3 linked regions of the Caenorhabditis elegans genome follow. The protein of the gene in region 2 interacts with the protein of the main gene of each other region in a biochemical or structural test. Each region holds a gene or a part of one and is shown on either strand. Other genes may lie near its edges.

What was found.
Region 1: the proteins of osm-6 (region 2) and osm-5 form a complex in vitro, tested with the Caenorhabditis elegans proteins (one study listed by BioGRID).
Region 3: the proteins of osm-6 (region 2) and dyf-6 form a complex in vitro, tested with the Caenorhabditis elegans proteins (one study listed by BioGRID).

Annotation. Positions count from the first base shown.
Region 1 is NC_003284.9:2,982,410-2,990,289, reverse strand, and holds the start of osm-5 (Intraflagellar transport protein 88 homolog), read right to left. Parts: upstream 6,028-7,880; 5' UTR 6,013-6,027; coding exon 5,932-6,012; intron 5,339-5,931; coding exon 5,276-5,338; intron 4,928-5,275; coding exon 4,858-4,927; intron 4,807-4,857; coding exon 4,702-4,806; intron 4,652-4,701; coding exon 4,606-4,651; intron 4,556-4,605; coding exon 4,246-4,555; intron 3,837-4,245; coding exon 3,611-3,836; intron 3,565-3,610; coding exon 3,327-3,564; intron 2,905-3,326; coding exon 2,697-2,904; intron 2,376-2,696; coding exon 2,074-2,375; intron 2,028-2,073; coding exon 1,877-2,027; intron 972-1,876; coding exon 856-971; intron 777-855; coding exon 573-776; intron 524-572; coding exon 312-523; intron 164-311; exon of another isoform or gene 62-163; intron 1-61. Other genes in the region: nspg-5 (DUF19 domain-containing protein), read right to left, coding at 6,255-6,450, 6,503-6,641, 6,694-6,827.
Region 2 is NC_003283.11:11,924,119-11,929,208, forward strand, and holds osm-6 (Intraflagellar transport protein 52 C-terminal domain-containing protein), read right to left. Parts: upstream 3,329-5,090; 5' UTR 3,289-3,328; coding exon 3,259-3,288; intron 3,211-3,258; coding exon 3,095-3,210; intron 2,713-3,094; coding exon 2,625-2,712; intron 2,547-2,624; coding exon 2,426-2,546; intron 2,377-2,425; coding exon 2,244-2,376; intron 2,156-2,243; coding exon 2,014-2,155; intron 1,967-2,013; coding exon 1,880-1,966; intron 1,768-1,879; coding exon 1,648-1,767; intron 1,603-1,647; coding exon 1,493-1,602; intron 1,069-1,492; coding exon 872-1,068; intron 827-871; coding exon 552-826; 3' UTR 503-551; downstream 1-502. Other genes in the region: R31.2 (ANK_REP_REGION domain-containing protein), read left to right, coding at 1-214; aman-2 (Alpha-mannosidase), read right to left, coding at 3,714-3,996, 4,048-4,798; F58H1.2 (uncharacterized protein), read left to right, coding at 4,987-5,038.
Region 3 is NC_003284.9:10,380,482-10,388,308, reverse strand, and holds the start of dyf-6 (Intraflagellar transport protein 46 homolog), read left to right. Parts: upstream 1-1,800; 5' UTR 1,801-1,850; coding exon 1,851-1,997; intron 1,998-2,418; coding exon 2,419-2,614; intron 2,615-2,660; coding exon 2,661-2,755; coding exon of another isoform or gene 2,756-2,794; exon of another isoform or gene 2,795-3,300; intron 3,301-4,723; coding exon 4,724-4,793; intron 4,794-6,792; coding exon 6,793-6,882; intron 6,883-6,927; coding exon 6,928-7,065; intron 7,066-7,545; coding exon 7,546-7,700; intron 7,701-7,755; coding exon 7,756-7,827. UniProt on the Caenorhabditis elegans protein: Component of the intraflagellar transport (IFT) complex B required for transport of proteins in the motile cilium. May be required for ciliary entrance and transport of specific ciliary cargo proteins such as che-3 which are related to motility.

The DNA of each region.
Region 1 (7,880 bases), on a different chromosome or scaffold from region 2:
TCGGAAATTGTCGGCCGCCGTGGAAACCTACCCCAAACCGGATGCATGTGCGTTCGGTGGTGTCAAAATCGGACGACGCCGATTTGCACAGCCCTAGTTTGAGAAAACATTCCGCACTGGTTCATTTTGTTGAATTGACGGTCGGCAATTGCCGCGCACCCCTTGATTCTCTCTCTCTCTCTCTCTCTCTCTCTCTCTCTAATCTATACTCTCTCTAATCTATACTCTCTCTAATCTATACTCTCTCTAATCTATACTCTCTCTAATCTATACTCTCTCTAATCTATACTCTCTAACTCCATTGCCCTTACTCATATCTCGTTGGGCCACCGTGAACGGGGTGCCACTATCCAGCAAAAGAGGAACATGTGCACTGTATTGACGGGTGCCACCACCACTCGAACCACCTGACCCCGATCCCAAACCGGTCAGGCCGGATGGGGGAAGGGAATGCGTTGAATTTGCAGAGTGACGTTTTCCTTGGCTTGAATCACTTTCCCGTTGTAGACGGAGTTGATTGATTCTATAACTCGCTTGTTTTGAAATTTTCTCTATTTGCATGTTTATATTACTTTTCAGCCTTTTCCAGTTTATCCTTGTACTCCTTGTATTCCGTCATTCCAAGATCACCGGCAATTCGAACCAAGAATTTGAGGCAGTCGAGGTCTTGAGGGAACTTGCGATGAATCTGACGATAAAGCTCGAAAGCTCTTTGGTAATTGCCTGTCCGTCGTAGGCAACTGGCTATCATCATTTGCCATTTTGAAACGTTTGGCCTGAAGCGCACATTATTCATAATTTTATTCATCATGACGCAAGACTAATGTTACGAAACATTAGAAATTAAGTACTTACTGCATCAGGGCAGCCTTCTCCAAGTAGTTGATGGATTTCTCAGAAAACTGAGTTTCTAAATAATAAGAAGCCAGCCATTCAACGGTTTCCAGGTTTGATGGAAAATATCGATAGCTCTGAAAAACCATAAGTCGGATATTTTATATTATGGGTTTAAATAAGTTCCTGGTTATAGTACATAACTTTTTTTGCTGCTGATCAATTTTTCTAAAACTATTCGGAGCCACTTTTTGCTCCTTTTTAGTTTTTGACTAAGGAATTAAGGCGGATTTTGATTAATTCGAAATAAATTGTAAGAACACACTGAAAGTATAAAAGTTTCAAAAAAGTCGTTAAAAAAATTTTCAGGAATTTTTTAAAATATAAATTTATTGATTTTTTATTCAAAAAATGATGCAACCAAATTTAAACTAATTTTACACATACAAAACATCCGAGTTCAATATGTCTTACTCAAATGGATATTGAAAATATGATTTTTTCGAGCTCTTTTTGAGTTTTTTGAGAATTTTTCGAGAAAAATTTTTAAATCAAAAATAAAATAGTTTACACTAGGTTGCAACAATTTTGTAAAAAAAATCATGAATTTTCAACAAAAAAATTTTTTTTTGTTGAAAGCATTTTTTTTTCAAAAACTTATACAAAAAGTGTCGGAAATTTAAAAAAGTGAAAAAAATGACGTCAGAACTGTATTAAAATACATAAAAAAAATGTATTTTAATACAGTTGTGACGCCATAAATGTATTAAAATAGATTTTGTAACATTACTTCCCCATAAGACTTGAGACTTACAACTTTGAAAAATCCTATTATAAACCTCAGTTATGAACTGAACAGAAGTGGCTCCGGGTAGGGACACTTGGGTGGTAAAACCTATTTGAAATAACCGTCAAATGAAAAATCATCTTTAATACCATAAATTCTTACAGTTTTAGAAAAATCAATAAGCAGCGAAAAAAGTTATGATTTTTTTGACCCGGAATTTATTCGGTCCCATAATATTCAATTATACAAACTGACGTCATAATGACATTGGAATGCTTGAGACTTGTCACCTTCTTGATCATACAAATCCGCCAGCTTGGAAAGGATTGCAGGGTCATTTGGAACCAAACTGTTTGCCTGACTATACAGCTCGATTGCTTGTGCAGAATCTTCCAATGACTCGTATCTAAAGTAACAATTTTGTTTCAACACTCATAACGTTTCTGTTTTACATAGAAGCCAATTGCACTAGCACTTGTACATTATTCAGAAGGATTCCATGAAGTTTGTAGAAAAATTCAAGTGCCTGCTCCAGGTTGCCTTGCGCTTTTGCAGTTAGTCCAATATTGAACAATGCTTGAACACAACTAGCGTCATTGTTCAACGCCTCTCGATAATTATTCAAAGCTTTGTCCAAATCGCCGTTCATGTACGCAATGTTGCCTTGGTTGACTTGAGCATGCGCATTATAGCGGTCAATTGAAAGTGCCTGGTCAGCATATTGCTGTGCATCTACTAGACGGCGTCCTCCTTGCTGCAAGTTGAAATATGCAAAAATGAGGTAGAGAAGTGCCGGTGGGAAATTGAAATTGCATTAAAACATGATTATGACATGACTATGACACCACTATGACCAATTATCAAAATGCGAAAATTCCAAAAAAAAAATCTAAATTTTATATGATTTTTTGAAAATTGAAAAATTGGAGAAATCTCAAATCTTTTTGCAACTTTTTCTGTTAATAAGACTGTTAATAAGAATTTTCATGAATTAAAAAAATTTCACATTGATATTTGGTCATTTTGGCACCATATAACTGGTTTTAACAATTTCTATACTCCACTTTCAACTTACCAAAAATCTCAGCATACAAAGATTGTTTGCAGCCGCACTGGCTGTTTTGGAATCTTGCGAATTAAAAACTTTCAGCACTTCGATTGCTCCCTCAATATCTCCGTTTTTCATCAGCTCACCAGCTTTTGTCATTTCAAGTTCAATTGCCAATGGTGCGTGTACAGACTGCTTGAGAGATTCAAGGCACCATTCATAGCCGATAGCGTAGCTGGAAGATTTCTATTTATTTATCTTTTTACTTATGTATATCAAAAACTTTTATATAACGGAATTACGCAACCGGAAGGACAACATAATACCAACTAATAATACAAAAAGATTTTGAAAGAAATTCGTTCAAACCATTTTCTGTCGGTTGCCAAAAATATTGTGCCTAACCAAGTGCAAACTATTTTTGCACATACAAAAAATTTGGGTTTGAATATTCGATCTCGAAATTATCAAAAAAAAGTATGATTTCTATCCTGAATTTTTTGTAAGTGTAAAAATATTTTCACTTGGTTTTTTTTGTTTAAAAAAAAACTAGAATTTTCGACACAAATTCAGTTGAAAATTTTTAACAACCGACAAAAAAATTTTCAATTGTTTTTTGTCATCTTACTCTGTATTTTCCTGACATTCAAAACTCACTCAGGAGCAATAACCGGGCTAATAATCTTCACTGCAGTAATGATTGCTTTTTCAGCATCCGACTTGTTCCGTTTCTCCCAGTTTTTCAGCATATCCGAGTTCAAGGTCTGATTCAACAAAACATCATCATCATCTTTCTCTTTCATGTAGTCATCATCCGGAAACCCAGGAATATCAATCATTTTCACAAATGCTTCTCTCATTTTTTCTGCGTCTTGTATGCAAAATGCTACCAATACTGTAAAATAACATTAAAAAAAATCAAATTTCTAGTGATAACCTACTCAAGTTGAGGGCTGTAATAAAATTCGGATTTTCTTCCACACAATGATCAAAAGTGCTTATGGCATCGTCATAACTTCCCATTCTGACAAAAGTTACACCAATATTGTTGAGAATTTTAATTCTTGTATCTTTTTGAATACTCGGAACTTGATCTAAAGCCATCCTGTAGTATTTCAAAGCTTTTGTGAATTCACGTTTGCGGAAATGAATATTTCCAATATTAACCTGAAAAAATATATATTAAGCTTAGTCAAAATAATGAAAAAATTTTACTTTACTGTTAATGCTCAACCCTTCAAATGTTGATCTGAAATTGCTTCAGCACAATTTCTAATATTTTCAAGCTTTGTAGAATTGCTCCAAACGCTGTTTTTATATACTAGGAGATTTTAAGAAATTTTGACTCTTTAAAAAAACTGGAAATTTCCAAAACATTTCAGAATCTTTACCAACATCTAACCAATTTGAAAATTATTAAAAGTATGCAGAAAAAGCATTTGGAGCAATTCTAAAGAACTTGAAAGTATTAAAAATGCACTGAAACAATTTCATATCACAATTTGGATGGGTGGAACTTTGCAGCCCAAAATTTTGTTAGGACATACATATCCTTAAGAAAAACTTTTATATTTACCTTTAGTCTCCCAGAATTTGGGAACATTTTGTTCCTTACAATGATTTCATAAGTGTTTAGCGCTTCATTAGTCATATCATTCGCTTCATATTGCTGAGCCAAGTTGAACAACACGGTGAAAGTTAGATCCAAATTCATCATCTCTACCAATCCCTGTTGCTCCCTGTGCTTCACAACTGCTCTTTCACGTCGCCCAGCTTCCTTCGCTTTATCCAGCGCTTCTTTGAACTTTTTCTTCTCACTAGCCAGCATACTTTCTCGGAGCATTTCCATTACTTTGTTTTCCATCTGCCGACATTTTTCTTCACCACTACAAGTTACATGATTTTTCAACTAAATTTCGCAACTATATATTCTTACTTTTCACCCGAGTTCTCGGTACTTAGTGGTCTTTCTGCGGCTTGAACTGAAAAAAAGTGACTGTGAACAAATAGTTTAGGACGGTGCGGATGTCACCTTTATTTGCAAAGGATGTATATCCGGCTCCGCGGACAGCGGTCATCGGTCTCGCAGGTTCATTGTTGTTAGCCATGGCTGTTCGACCGCCCATTCGACTTTGATCTGAAAAGAACGGATCCTGATTGCAAAAAAAAAATGTAGTTGGTTACTCACTTCCCATCATCGTTCCCGGCGGTTTTCCATAAGAGGAGGAAGCATCTCGGAATCCCATTTGAGATGCAGTCTTAGAAAAAGATTGTAATAAATTGTAATAAAAATTTTCAAAAAAATTTCAAAGATTTTAAAAGTCAAAAAAAGGTCAACTTTGCCCGAAATTTTTTTTTTTTTTTTTTTTGCTGATGATTTTTTTAAAACTGTTTCGGACCGGAGCAGCAAGGTAAAATTTACCAATCGGAAAAATTTTTTAGAAAAAAAAGTTTAATCATAAAATTTAGTCAGTTTTAGTATTTTTTAAGCAAAATAACACACAAACTCAATTTCTCCTTTGATTGAAGTTTTAAAAATTTTTCTCTTTAAGGTAAAAAATTTCTAATTACTATACAAAACAGTTTATTTTCCAATTGTCACTCACCGGACGCCTTCCATGGCTCGACCTAGCAACGGCTTGTTGAAATTGTGGATTTTGAGTTATGTTCTGAATTAAACACATTTATTATTGCGTATTTACAGGAGGAGTAGAATCATTTAGAAATTTTGCTTGAAATGATAAAAAATAGGCCCTAATAGCCAAATGTAACTATAAAAAATGGGTCAAATGTTCCTTAATTTTTGATTCTTTTTTTTTCAATTTTTCAAAAATCAAAGAAACGTCTCATTTGAATTTTAATATTCGCGCGGAAAAGTTGACGTCATTTTTGATATTTTTGCGTTTTCGGGTAAATATTTATGTTTTTCAGATACTTTCTGCTATATTTTATTTGAAACCCGGTTGGCGGAAATTTCAAAATTGACCTAAAAATTGACATACAATTTTTTTGTCGGAAAAATGCTCTTAAAATTGGTAAATAAAGTTTCAAATGAGATATAAAAGAACAATGAAGAAAAACCAAGGTGACGTCACTCATTTGAGCGGAAATTTATAATCATATTGGGCGTTTCTTTGGTTTTTGCAAAATTGAAAAAAATATTTAAAAATTTAGAAAAAAATGTTTAAATTGTTGTACAGTAATACTATCATTTATAGCAAAAAATCATAGACTCTTATTCATTTTTAAATTATTATCAAACCTGAATATCATATGCTTTATCATACGAATCAAAACCGCCGTAAAAATCGTCATCATCTTCACGAAAAGTGCTGTTCGCCATTAAGAAAAGTGTTCTCAGAAGAAATAGAGAAGAGTGCGCTGCTTGGTGTTCTGGTTGCCATGGCACCCAAGAGAAAACAATTTTCGTCAAGCTAGCGGAGCGTTGCCATAGTAACTATGTAAGCAAGAGAGAGAGTGTAACACCGAATGAGATGCAATAGTTTATACATGTATAGGTCTGAGGGGTTTTCAATGACAATATTAAGTTATGGGGTTCGAGTCTTTCAATTTCAAAACAATAAATTATAGGCAAAACAAGAAAACAGCAAGAGAAATTATGATTGATTGAACAAATGAGATCGCGGACGAAGAAAGTGTACAGAATGGAAGGTAAATTTGAATTGGCCGTTCAACTGCTTGGATAACTGTCAGAAAAGAGCCAAGTCCACAGGTTGTTTCAATTGCAGGACGAATGCAGTCGGTATATGATTGAAGTGCACTGAAAGCCATTTTTGTCAGTTGTCAATTAAATCTATAATATGAAAGCTCACAAGCATGCTCCGGCTCCTGACGAATAATCATTGTACATTTGTTCAGTGTTTCTTGCCAATTGTGTGAAACTTGCTTCACACATTGCAATCTCCCTGCTTTCCGCAACAGACAAGTAGCAATTCCAGTTGTTGAGCATTGCTGAAAATTTTCCAAATTCTACGCTTTACAGGATAATTTTCCTAAGTCATACATTGATATCCTTCTCCACAAACATAATCCAAGACTGAATCGACAACGGAATAGCGAGACTTTAGCGGTTCGTGCGGATAGCAGGCTTGTTTGATGTAGCTCCCTCCGAGGCAGTTGTTGAATCTTTGATAAGCCCTGAGACCAGATATAAGTTTTAAAATGTTGCGAGAATTATATTTATAGGAGTAACGGTTCTGAGTATTTGAAGCATATAAACTCAAAATGTGCTCAAATAAACAAATTTCGTAATGAAACTTCTCAACAAACTCGTTTTCAAATTTTTTTATGGCAGTTTCGAATTAAAAAAAGGAATAATTTTAGCTTTAATTTAGGCCAATTTTTGTGTCGCAGTGGTCCTAAGAATGGACCGTACTACCTGAATACTACTGTAAAATTTTTTTTTTGAATTTCTTATGATTTTTTCAATTTTGCAAAAATTAAAGAAACGACCGAATTAAATTTTAACTCCCGCGCAAATGAGTGACATCATTTTTGATAATTTCGCGTTTTTTTGGCTAAATTCATCGATTTTTCTTAATTTTTGAAATATTGTATCTTTTTGAAATTTTTGAAATATTGTATCACTGTTCGTCAATTTTCAAGCATTTTTCCGTGAAGAGAACTTTGGATAGAAATTTGCGGAAATTTTAAAATTGGCCTAAAAATCGACAATATATAATATAATTTTAATTCTAACTTTTGAGGGTAAATATCTTTAAAAAATTGACAACGATGTTTAAATCAAATATTGGAAAAAAACCATGAAAAATCGCTGAAGGCAGGAAACGTAAAAAGGTCTAAAAATGACGTCACTCATTTGCGCGAGAGTTTAAATTTAATTCCGACGTTTCTTTGATTTTTGCAAATTTAAAAATCCAAAAATAGATTAGAAATTTTTTATCTTTTTGTTACAGTTTTTCTTTGTCATTATGATTCATTTTCTATTGTTTGAAACAAGAACATTTTTAAAATTTACTCCACCTCTAATCAACGAAATAATAGAGATAAAAAAGCAAAATATGCAATAAAAGATAATTATTCATAAAAAAGTTAACTTCGGACCGCTGAGACACGGAAAAGTGGCCAAAATTGGGCCACATTTGTTTTTTCAAATTTTTGAACTGGTATAATATTTTATTGAAATTTTTTTGAGAAGTGTTTTTCACGAAAAAGCGGCGCATTTTTTGT
Region 2 (5,090 bases):
ATCGTTTGTTCCACCAGCTTCTGCACACCAAGCTCCATCAACAAAAGCCACAGTTGTCGAAGAGTCGAAGCAAGTTCCAGAAGGACGCGAACCCAGCGATTTGGCCACGTGGATTCACAATAATCCAGACGTCGTCAGAAATGTGGCTGCTGCAGCTGCAGTTGCTGGAGTTGCCGGTCTTGGTTATTACGTCTACGTTAAGAAATTTAAGTAAACTTTAAGATTTCAATTAGTTTTACCCTATAGTTGATACATAGGCTTTCTAAACTCTAAAAGAATAGTCATGAAAAACTGAAATCTAATCACCATCCCAGTTCATACATTCTTCCTCCTCATCACGCCCCGCCCATCCACCGCCTGAAGTTACCCGGTATTCAGTGTATTCTTTAATCATCCAATTTCTTACCGTTTTCTTGTTAGATATCCCAATCATTTAACCATTTTCTTCTCCGTATCGGGTCATTTTTCATCGTTTCAATTGTGCCCACTAAAATCCAAAACGTTTTTTTTTCAACATGAATATTTTATTATCTTATCTCCAGACAAATCAATCACAAATCATCGAACTCATCAATATCAGAGAACAGCTGCTCGTCCATCTCTTCGCCTTGATTAAAACTTTGATGATGAGCATCATGCTCTCCAATATCGAACGCTGATGCAACTTCCAACTCTCCATCCATCATTGAACGTTTGAATAACATGAGTTTGCTCACTGCCAACTCAATTATTTTCTTGGGGGTTCGTTCACTTCTTGTCAATTCAGCAGATATTCCAGTAATTTCACCAGCTTTTTCAATAAAGAATATGAGATCTTCTTCCTCGCCTGAAACTATTCCATTTATTATTTTTTCTGAATAAAAACTCTTACTTCTATTTGCGAGCTGAGAAAGTTGAATTTCCGGAGAGCTGAACTGTTCATCAAGATCAAATAATTCAAGAGGAGGCATTGGTAATTCTTGAAATGTTGGTGGAAATACTGCAGGTTGAAATGGAGGCATTGGAAGTTCAAATTGAGGTTCAACAAGGGTAAGTGGTGGAGGTGAAAGATTCAATGCTTCATACAATCTAGAATAAAAATGTTTATTCAAGTAGAAATGATGTTTTACACTAAAACTTATTGTAAACTTCATTCTAATATTCTTTCCAAATATCGAAATAATTTCAAAAGAAGGACGCGGAAACTTGCGCCTTTAAATGCTAAAAATTTAAACAGTACTGTAGTGTGACACTACTCATTATTCTCTTTTGACTATTAGAAAACAGAGTGAGGTACTACGGTAGTTGTTAAAGTCGCACGCTCTTTTCCGTACTTTATTCGTAAATAATTTGATCGTGTCGAGACCAGCTACCGTATTTTCAGGAAAACATCGCAAAGTTGGTGATTGGGTAAAACCGTGTTTCCATTTTCGAAAGCATGATTCTTGAATCTTTTTCTTAGTAATAACAAACATATTTCTGTAGTCAGGGGAAAGTATTTAGGGCACAGTACCTTATAGTCATTGGCCAATGTTTCAAATTAAAAGAATGCAACGAAGTATCCATAATCTTCATGAAATCCGAACTGATTGCCTGATCCAATTCTCCTTCGTACATACAAACCTGTTTGTTAGTTTGTCTAGAAAGTATAATTTTTTGAAGTCAAACCTTGATCTGCTGGGACATATGAATATGATCTGGAATATTTGTGTAATCATTAATTTCCGGCTCTGCAGCATCTATCGTGTTCAGTTCAAGACCATTGACCAGGAATTCCACAAATGTATCCTGAAATTGAAATTTTCCAATAAGGCGAGTTAAGAGGCGGGTGGGAGGCGCATCCTGCACGCCTCAACCAACCGGGGAAGTTTATTTCGAACCATATCAAAAATACACTTACAAAAATCTTTCCATTTTCTTCCTTATCGATGTATGTGTCATGAAACATCGAGACTGATCCAACCACACACACTCTACCTTTCTTTTTCTGAAAATAATATGAATTAATGTACCAATTTCAGAATATTCTAATACCATTTCATTGAGTTTTGTCTCATGAAAAGCGGCAACTGGGCGACTTGTTGGAAAACTTGTACTTCCAGAAGACAATACTACATTCGACATACGATTATTCACATCTAGAGTACATCCATATGGATAAATGAATGAAAGTGCTCTGAAATATTGAAATCACTTTTTTATTTTTGGAAAATCGGAAACCGAATTTTGTCCTAAATAAATAAAAAGCTAATAGTTCAACTCACTGTGAATTATGTTTTTGCTCAGTGCTCACATTCTTTTTTGCAGCCACTGCAATTGCTCGATTTATGACTCCATTTGCTACTAAAGCTTCTTTCGGATCAAAATATTTCAGGAATACAGTACGAATTACCGAATCTTGAATGTTGATGATTTTTGTAATTCATTTAATTTGATAAAGACATACCCTTATTCACAGTAATTCCATATTTTGCAATCATTTCATTTAATGATTGTCTCTCACCACCTTCACCAGAAAGGATCATCAATGAACCACCTTCTTCCACAAACTTCCATATTGCTTCAATCTTAAATTTTAATTTTTTGGGTGTTAAAATTAGGCTGAGACAATCAAATGAAATTTAATAAAATTTAAAATCCTAAACCTCTCCAGTTCCAAATGATGTCTTTGGTTGTGGAATGATAAGCATCCGAACATCTTCTAATCCATTTAAGTTAATTGGTTCTGTGTTTCTGAATTTAAAAATTATTATCTATCTGCGAGAGAAATTCAAATTTGGCAAAAATTACGGTAGCAGGTCTCGACGCGAGCAAAACAATTCCGCGCAAAGGATTGCTCGACTTCGAGGAGTACTGTAGTTTCCAATATTTTGTTTTTTTCGTTTTATTTTTTATTTTTTAAATAGCAGCTTAATTTGTTCAGTATAATTTGAATATTTATTCCAAAGAATTCAAAATAAGAAAATGAGAAACAAAAATACAAGAAACCTGCTTCTTCGCAGGATCCGATTTTAATTCGTTTCGAGACCGGGTATCGTATTCTTTCATCATAAATCGTAAATCTTTCAACTATGTATTTAATGTATAAAATGTTAAATATTCCAAAAAAGCTCACATTTCAACAGTAAGAACACTTTTTAAATGTCTTGCCACACCACGAAAACCACTAATCAAACTAATTTGTTGCTGTTTTGATTGATCAATCAGAACTTTTCTCCCAATACTCCGGTTCTGGAAAATGGAAATAATAAAATGCGAAAACTAAAATCTAATACTTACAGTCATCTTTTCGTCTGAAAATGGAGGCATAGATGTATACTAATGAAGGTAATAGCTTGAAAGAGATATAAGCCCCAAGAGAGGGAGCAGACAATGTGAGCGAGAAGCAATGAGTGGTTACTATGGTAACATGTGGATACAAATCTTGGAAGGGTCTCCTGGGAAAGGAACTACTAGAGAAATATATAGTTAACTTTGTTTTCTGAAATTTAATGAATTCCGTAATAGACTCCTAATTATTAAAAATGCAATTTCATTTTTGAAGTTTGATGAAAGATGTAATTAATTTTATAACAATTTATTTGGAACGAAAAAAATTTTACATGAAAACCGGAAGTGTGAAATCGTTGTTTCATAATTACATCGTCTTATACAAGATTATAGTTAATAAATAAATACCCATGAAATGTAATGAAAACTGAAAATATAACTACTACATATAAGCAATTATAAAATTAAAATGATACAAGAATACTGGAAATATCGTTTGGTTGGAGTCGGAATTGTTCAGCCTTGTTTCCTTCATAAAGATTGGTTAGTGACGTTTTTTTCGCAGACTTCAGTGTCGAGATCAATTTGAGTGGCTCAATTTCTAATCCAGTAGCTAAGCATGACGTGTCTGGGAGGGTAAGCCTGGATCTACAGTCTGGAACAACTCTATGCATCACCATCGCTGCTTTCTTCTCAGCTGCCGTAGATCTTTCGTTGGCTTCGTAAGTTGTCGGCGATGCCAGTGTTCTGAAAATGATTAAAGATGAGGGTTACTGTAGATTTCAGATTTTTTAACACCTAAATGTCACTAGATGCAGGTCACAGTTCAGCTCTTGTTCCACATTTTTCGAAGAAATAGATTTTGGTGTTGCATCTCCAATCATTTTGACAAGAGGATAATGAAGAGACCACGTAGCGAGATGACCAACATGTGAATGGAATCCAACTCGTTCTTCCTTCTTATTACCACTCGATGAAGACATCGGCTCAATAACAATACGGAAATGTGCAACTGTTCGTTTGTTGTCTCTAACTCCTTGCTGAAGACCTCTGTTGTCATCTGAACTAAGTCGTCGATCAAGCATTATTTCAATTTGTCCCGACGAGAGACTGCTAACTCCGAGAGCCTGTGCCGAATGAATTGACATTCTGGTAGTATCGTCTTCAATGTAAACACCAGCAGACATGGGATAGAAATTGGCCTGTGTTGGTAATTTAGTTTGTCGTCTCCTTTTTATCATTTGCATTCCATTGAGATCAGTGAAAAACTCATCACCACTATTTACTGAAGAACTGAATCTCAGTGCCAACTCGAAATTCTCCTTGGAACGTACATCAACTTCATTATCCAAATCAATCCATGGAAGCCCTTGATAAAGTGTGTACGTTTGCAATATTTTCAGATCATTGTTTGGAGTTGCAAACACTTTTTGAACAACTTCTCCTTTTACCAATATCCAATCACTTGATTGTTTTTTGAGTTCTCTAGCTTCTCCATCGGGAAGGAACAGGTATGCGCCAGCCGGGTTGTCTTCATTTCCATTTGCGACTGAAAGAAAAACATTTTTAAAGCGAACAAAAGATTTGGAGGAAAAGCCTAGATTTTGAAGGGATGAGAAGTGAGAGAGTGAAGAGGAGTGAAGAACGGATGCATCTCTTGACCCAAATCGCCTTATTTCAATCACTTGTTTATCATGTCAACGGCTGATTTGTATCATTTCGCGCTTCTACGCAGGAATGGTGATGTTCTATGCAGCTGCAGTTATTCTAGCTGTATCCGCAGTTTCAGGTGAGTTACTGAAATATTTTGTTTCATAAACTGCACTAGGATGCGTACAAAA
Region 3 (7,827 bases), on a different chromosome or scaffold from region 2:
ACAGGAAATGAATGCGTGTGAAATTACAATGGTCTAGTATTGTTTAATAAAGATGTTTTCAAGTTATTATGATAGTATTCGTACATCAACATATATAACATCTAATTTAAACTAAATTACATGCGAATTATCGTTGTAAGCACGCATTTTTTCAAAGGTGGAGTATGGCCAGTGGAGAAATAAATGAAACTCATTCATATGAGCTCAACATAATGTTGGAGAACAAATATTAAAAACAAAAATACAAACGGTAGGACGTAAAACAAGGAGAAAATATTTAGTTTGATTGCCGATTCCCGAAAAAATTGAGTTTTCACCACTATTTGTATCGGAAAAATTTCCAAAGTTTAAAAAAATTTTATTATGATATTTGGTCATTTTAGCATTGCATTGTTGTTTCAATCATTCACCCATTTGCAGTAGTCCACCTTTAAATGAAATAATCTGAGTTATGCAAAAATGTGTCGATTTTAAGTTTTTAAGTTAAAAAAATACCAATTCCAACGCCGGAAGAGTCAAAATGTATTTCACGTTTACTTTAGTATGATATTTTGATTTCATTTTGTTTCAACCGCTTTTATTAAATTAACAAATTTCGTATTCTAAAAACCTATGTTTAATTTGATTAGTTTTTATTTTATTTTTTGATGTCGTCATTGAATAGACGAATACGTAGTCTCTGACTGGTTTTTGAAGCAGAACCGATTAGTTGAACATTTGATGTGAAATATGTTCTAGTCATTGAATATAACAGATATGTTTGGAAATATATCAATGGAAAACAATTACATCAGCAAACACACGTCACAAACATTGTTTTCACATACATTTCTTAGCGTGAGCAGTGTCTGAAACAGCATCGACAAAAAGCTGTTAGCAATTAAACATAAGGGAATCAGAAGCAAGCAAACAAATAAACCTCAACATTTGTCTTAAAGTTGTAAATATTTATGTCGCCATGAAATTTTTTATATTTGTATGGTTTCTGTATAAATTTAAATCGACATTGAAGTTGACATGAATAAAATTTATTTTTCGGAATTCAGCTGTCCGAGCAAATTGTGTCTAGACGTTTACTCTTTGGAACTTTTTTTTTCTGATGTTTGATTTGAAAATGTTTCACAAATGTTGAATTTCCTAAAATATTATATTTTCAGGTGTAATTGTTGATTTTTTTATTAAAACGTCAAAGTGAGATGGGCTAATTATTTTTGTCTATATTATGAACAGATGGACCGGCTCAAAATACCCGAAACCAGAACTAATTATAAACTTCCGTTTCTCTCTGCAAATGACGCAGACCAAATGTATTCCATGCGAATCAGGTGGATGTGGGGGCATTCTCAGCACCACTATACGTTAACTAGAATCAAGATATTCGCAGCATGAGAGTTTTACTTCATTTTTTACGAGTGTGCAGTTAGCTTTAATTTTAGCTATATAAGTGTATTTTCAACGATGCAAGTTTTTAAAGTTATAGTTTTGAATCAAAAATGTTTACATTCTTAATATTATTGCAAGTATCCCTTTTTTTATCAGTTTGAATTATACTTGCATCTATTTGTCATAGAAATATATATGAAAAATGCCAATTTCCGAAACTCATATGCTCCCTACAAAACGACGAAACTTCTTTTGTTTTGACCAATATCCCTCCTTTCCTGCATTATTTTTCATTCTCCTCCAATACGTTGTTTATGCTTCACCTGCCTGTCCAACATAAACGAACTTTTGAGAAAATGAGCTTTCCGGGTCTCCATGGTTACTTGCCACACAAACCGCTTTCCGGGTAAAGACACCATTACTTGTTGCAGGGTCCCAAACATATCGGCATTTGTTTCATGTTAACTATGTCATCAGAAACCACGGCACCAATGATCATAAATGAAAAGTCATCGTTGCCAGTAAAATCAGAACCGGGGCAGCTTGGGAATCCAATCAGCGATGAATCTTCAGAAGATGAGCAGAGCCAAATAAGGGCTCTAGAGGAAGATCAGGTGAGTAAAATGGTTACAATAATTTTTTAAAACCATTTTGAAACATCAAAACATGTAAAAAACGTTTCATCAAAACATAACACGCTTCCCGATCTCTGTAATTATCCACACGTGACGAATTATTTCGCAATAATCCGCTCAAAAAGACAAAAAACTCTTAAGTTTACTTTTAAATGTCGAGATTCAATATGCACTCAATTATGATCGATTAAAACTTGTTTTGTTCAATGTTTTGTTTTTTGTTTAAAAAAAAACAACAAAAATTGACATTTTCTTCTTTTGCGCGTCTTGGAGTTTCTATAGCAACCGAGAAAACTGAAGACAATCGACGTGGATTGCTTGAGAAACAAAACGGGTTTGCCAGCTAACTCAATTGGATTGCCAGAGAAATAAGATTTGAGCAGAAAATTTTCGTTCTCAGGGTATCTACTACAACGAAGAAGTGGTTGCTTCGCCGAAAAACGAAAGCGACGACGATATTCCCTTACGCCGCATTCAACTGAGTCATCAGACATCTACTCAACAACATCCAGAAGATTCGGAACCGCAAGAAGTGATTGACGTCAACGATATTGAACTACCAGCAGGAGAAGCTCAACCAAACATGGAACGAAGAAGTATTGTAATTTTTTTATTCGGAACTGTTAAAATGTTGTAATTTAGGATCAGTTCGATTTAGTGGGCGTCATGATGAAGAAGAAGACGGGCGTAACAAGCATTTTCGAACTCCATCACCCGAAAGTCTTCGTTATATTCAGGTGACTCTATTCATTGAAGCTTTCATAAATCAGAAATAAAAGCACAGTGGTCGGTGCAAGAGAGCGGGTCTTTAGCTTAAGCCGTCTTTGTCCTCGTCCCCATGGTGAATATCCACAACAGCTTGAATGAACATTTTCCATTGCATTCAATGACGACACTATTGAGTTTGAGTAGAATTTAATCAAATTGAAATCAAATTGAAAATAATTTGAAAATTGTCGTTTTGATTCTTTAGATTTGGCTTGTAACATTTTTTTAGCAATGGATAATTTGGAGACGGATTAGTAATACTGATTTTCATAAATGCACAGTATCGTCAATGGAGAAATTGTTTAAAACCACTCATTTGTTGCTATAATGACCAAATATCATAGTAAAGTTTTTCCTTTTTTTAAATGTTTTTTGTGCAGTCGGAAAATGTTGAAAACTTAATGTTCACTTATCATAAATTTCGAAGTTGACCAAAAACTCAATTGTTTGTACTTGAACATTTTAGATGAACCTGTAGAATTGTTTGAAATCTTTCATAAATTCTTCAATATAACAATTTTTGGCAATTTACCAAAATACCAAAGCTACGTACATGTTGAAAAATCTGAAAACTTTTTCCTTAAAAGTTTTTCCTTTCCAAGAGCAAATTAGTTATTTATACATTACTGAACAAAAACAATTATTGATAACTGATTTTCATGATAAAAATGAAAAGATTAAGCTTCCAAGCATCTATGTACACTCAAATATCCTTGGATCTAATAGTAAGAAATATCATACGAATTTTGAAAACTGGAGTGTCATGATATTTGATTTCCATATCAGTGTTTTCAAAGGTGAAGTAAACTTTTACGAACACTCGTAATGTCACTCCAAATATCTTTTCAATTTTATGATCAACTTTACAAAATTTTTCAAAACAAACTAATGCAACTCCAAGATGCAAAATTTCAAGGAGTAGTCAACATATGCATTGTATTGTACGCAGTATTAAAGCTGCGTATTTCTCTGAAACAGTGAAAAATCGTTAAATACGTTATATTTGGTACCTTTTGACAAACTGAGTTTCCAATAACGAAAACCCTAAAAATTGCATATTCTGGGCATTGCTACAAAATGTTTCGTTTGTTGATTGTCTACCTTTGCTATGTCAATAGCGTCAGAAAATGAGAATGTCTCTTATTGATTCAAACATTTTCAATTATTTTTCTTTTGTGTGACGTTTTAACTTATCTAGAGTTCAAGCTTTCAGCTGCCGATTTATATCAAAACTTCCTTCAATTTCAGAAACTACGGCTTTGAATAAAATGCACTTTTATTTTTTTTCCAAGAAACTTACATGCGTCTCAAATAAAAAAAAAGTTTTTCTGATTTTTTTTTATTTCAGACGACAAACGTTTACTTGCAAGGTTTTCATTGTACCAACTTGGTGATATAACTTTGCTTTGCTTGTTGATCCGTCACCATTACACATAAATCTTAACATCCTCCGCTAAGTTCTAGACAGAACATTGTATCACAAACTGAAATTACTCTTTGAGGCATGAAATCTTAACAGCAAAAATTTTGAAACTTCATTCTCAATGTTTTCCAATACTCCCTTTGCATTTCGTATAATAATCGGCTTGTGAACAGCTTCATATTTTGTTTTCGCATTCACGTATTCACTACCATCTAATTTCCGCTCATAGTATGATAAATGTGAACAGATGAGCTTGAAAAAGCGTTGATATTCGTGGCTAGGTAGATGAAATATTAGTGAGCGCGTCTGTGTGTCTGTGTGTGTTCGGGCGTGTTTCTAAGCGCAAAACAAAGTTTTGAGAATATAGAGCTTGAAAGTGAGAGGAAAAACCTCAGGAAAACCTTGCTGATAGGAGCTACTATTTCCTCATTTATTCTAAATGTTCCTATACTAATTTTTTGTATTACTGGAAAACTGGGTAAATTTGTTTTTGCTTCCACTAATAACCTTTCAGGCATTGGAAAATCCAATGGCGGCAAACGGAGAGTTCGAAGAAGAGTTCAATGATTTGGCTGATCCACAAGGTATGATTTTAAAATGTGTGAAAACGGGCACAAAATACCAAACTACTTAATTAGGCTTCTCAGATTCCAAACAGATTTTATGAAAAGTTGAGGTTTTGAAAAAAACATAGAAATGTTGTATGTTTCTAACTTTGTCTAATTGTGTGCATCCCAACGGCTTGAAGTTAATTTGTAATTGAGTTTTTTCTCGGTTTTTTTTTTCATGTTACTTCGTTTATGTTCGCATTTTTCTGACGGTTTAATTATATATTTATAGCTAATAGGTTACTGAAACTCAGTAATTCTACCGGATCAAAATGTACCTCAATAAAAAAAATTAACATTGCTCCCGTAGTTTATAAAGTCAAAGACTTTGTGCACACCAAGGGTGGGCGGCTAATAGCCGAATTAGCCGAATTAGTTGACAGGCTAATTCGGTTAATTCGGCTAATATTAGCCGAATTAGCCGTTAGCCGAGTTTCAATTTAGCAGACATTAGCCGAATTAGCCGCATTATCCGTTTGGCTAATTCGGCTAACACAATGGAGCACGATTGCAATGTTTGCAAACAAATTTTTGTGGTTTAATTGCTTTCAGTGTGTTTTTTGTTTCTGTTACCAAATTAATTGTTGTTACTTACTTGATAACCCAAATTAGTGCAAAACTTGCTGAATCAACAAAAAAAATCTAAAACTGATAAAGTTAGCCGAATTAGCCGAATTTCAGCCGACCGGCAAACTCGGCTAATTTTAGCCGAGTTAGCCGTTAGCCGACTTTTTTCCCAATTGGCCGAATTAGCCGTTAGCCAAAAATTATGAAAACCGGCTTAAGCCGAATTAGCCGTTAGCCGAAAAACGATTAGCCGCTCACCCCTGGTGCACACGCTTCTAGAAAATAAATCTTCTCATGCGAAATGATTTCTTTTTTTTTTCTTAAATCTTAAAGTTGTTAAAGTTTTACCACTCAATTTTTAAGTTGTTTCCAGTGAAGAGAAAACAAAAAAAAACTAAGCCAACTCAGTTTTTAAAAAATTGGACGGTAATTTTCAGTAAGATCGCATTCAAATAATAGCAATGATTCAGCGAAAAAATTGGATAAAATATAGAATGTTCACTCTTCGTGGGAGCAAACGTTTGAGTTGATTCGGTTTTTTTTCAATCCTGTACATTGAATGCAGTCCAACGTTACAAAAATGTGATCCTTTTTTGTTTTTGTCTGTTAACATTTTGACAACAAAGAGCGTGAAACAAATGATAATCACTTATGCTTATGAGATACTCATGCGTATAGAGTGCCTCCATTGTTTCTTTTGCTGATTAAATTATCAGTTCGATCAATGAGCTTTGAATTGATTAGGCTTTTTTAAAGTTTTTCTATAATCTTAAATTTATAACCTAAAAGGTTATGAGTCTCAGACATTTTATTTATATGTTTCCTAGCCAAGTCTAAACATGTAGCAACTTTGCAAAAAATGTTTTCTCAATTTTTAGATGTTGTTTTTGGATATTAAATTCGGAACCAACAAAATTTTGTTTCAAGATAAAAAGAAAACGAATCACATCCTAATGTGAATCTTGGATTAAGTAATAATAACTGTTTTTGAATTTCATAGGCCTCCAATGTTTTTCTTAATCATTTTTTTGTAAACGAATCAACAAAAGTTAAGATTCTGCGCATGTTTCTTTAATATTCAAATATTCTAATTGCTGGTTTTTTCCTAAAACTAAACTTGTATGTAATTCATTTGAAAAATCATACAGGCATTGGAATTGAATAGTAACAAAAATTGGAAAACGACTGTGAATATATTAGAAAATTGTTAAATTAGTGTTTTTGAAAAAACTTTCGGCGGGTTTAAAGTATCACATAATTGCATTATAAATTCTTACAAAATCGCGTATCTTTATAACATACTCAATGACCTAATATGCTCTATGAAAACCTGAATTTAAAAAAAGCTATAAAAAGAAAGTTCATTGTATTTTACTTATAATCAATTTTTCACTGTTTATGCTTTTAGTGCAGCCACCACCAATGGGATCTCCACCCGCCTACACTAGCGCCGATGAAGGTCCCAAGACGCCGCCACCTAGGGCTTCAGCTGGATCGAGTCAGTCTCGTGCAACACTTCTTGACATTCAAAATAAAATTGCAGATATGAGGCAAGAATCTATGAACGAATTGATAATGAGAAAAATATCTGACCCCCTTCAAAATTTGATTCGCAGAGCAAGCCGCCTGGAGGACGACAGCAGCAACGACGATGATGATGATGACGACGATGAGGATGACGGTAAGGCTACACACGGAAAACATTCCACAACATATATATTTCGCATAAAGTCTACAGAGACCTCTGATAATTAATTAATATCCACAAAAACATAGACATAGGTCATACTCTGGAACAAATTATTTTCATTTTACTTGTTTTTCAAGAAATTTATCCGAAAAATAACTTTTTTTATCGTATTCTTTAGTTTAAACTAACATACATTTTATTTTCTGATAGTGAGTAGTTTTCAAAACATTTCAAGAAGATACTTTTGAGTGTACACGACTTTCTCAATTTAACAAGTGAAGCATAATAAGATAACATTTAAAAAAGAACATATTTTGTATATATTTCGCGACGCATTGTATCATGTTTGTGGAAACTTTTTAATCTCAAAAAAAGCAATCAAACAACATTTGAATCCGTTTCTTCGGGAAAATACTTATAGATTTATCATTTTTGACCAATAATTGTATTCTATCTGAAGTCTGCTTTCAGACTACACCGAAGACGAAATTGCGATTCTGACTTATATCGACGCGTATAAAACACAAGAAGTAGAGTTGCGCCCGCAATTACGCCCATTCACTATCGAATACATCCCAGCAATGGGCGATGTCGACCTATTCATCAAAGTGCCAAGGCCAGACGAGGTATGTCCGGAATTCATAGCTCACGCAAACATGTTTATATAACCAAGAATTTTAGATTGACGATAATGTGGGGCTCACGCAGATTGACGAGCCACCCAGCAACCAGAGCGACGCCACAATTGTCGAT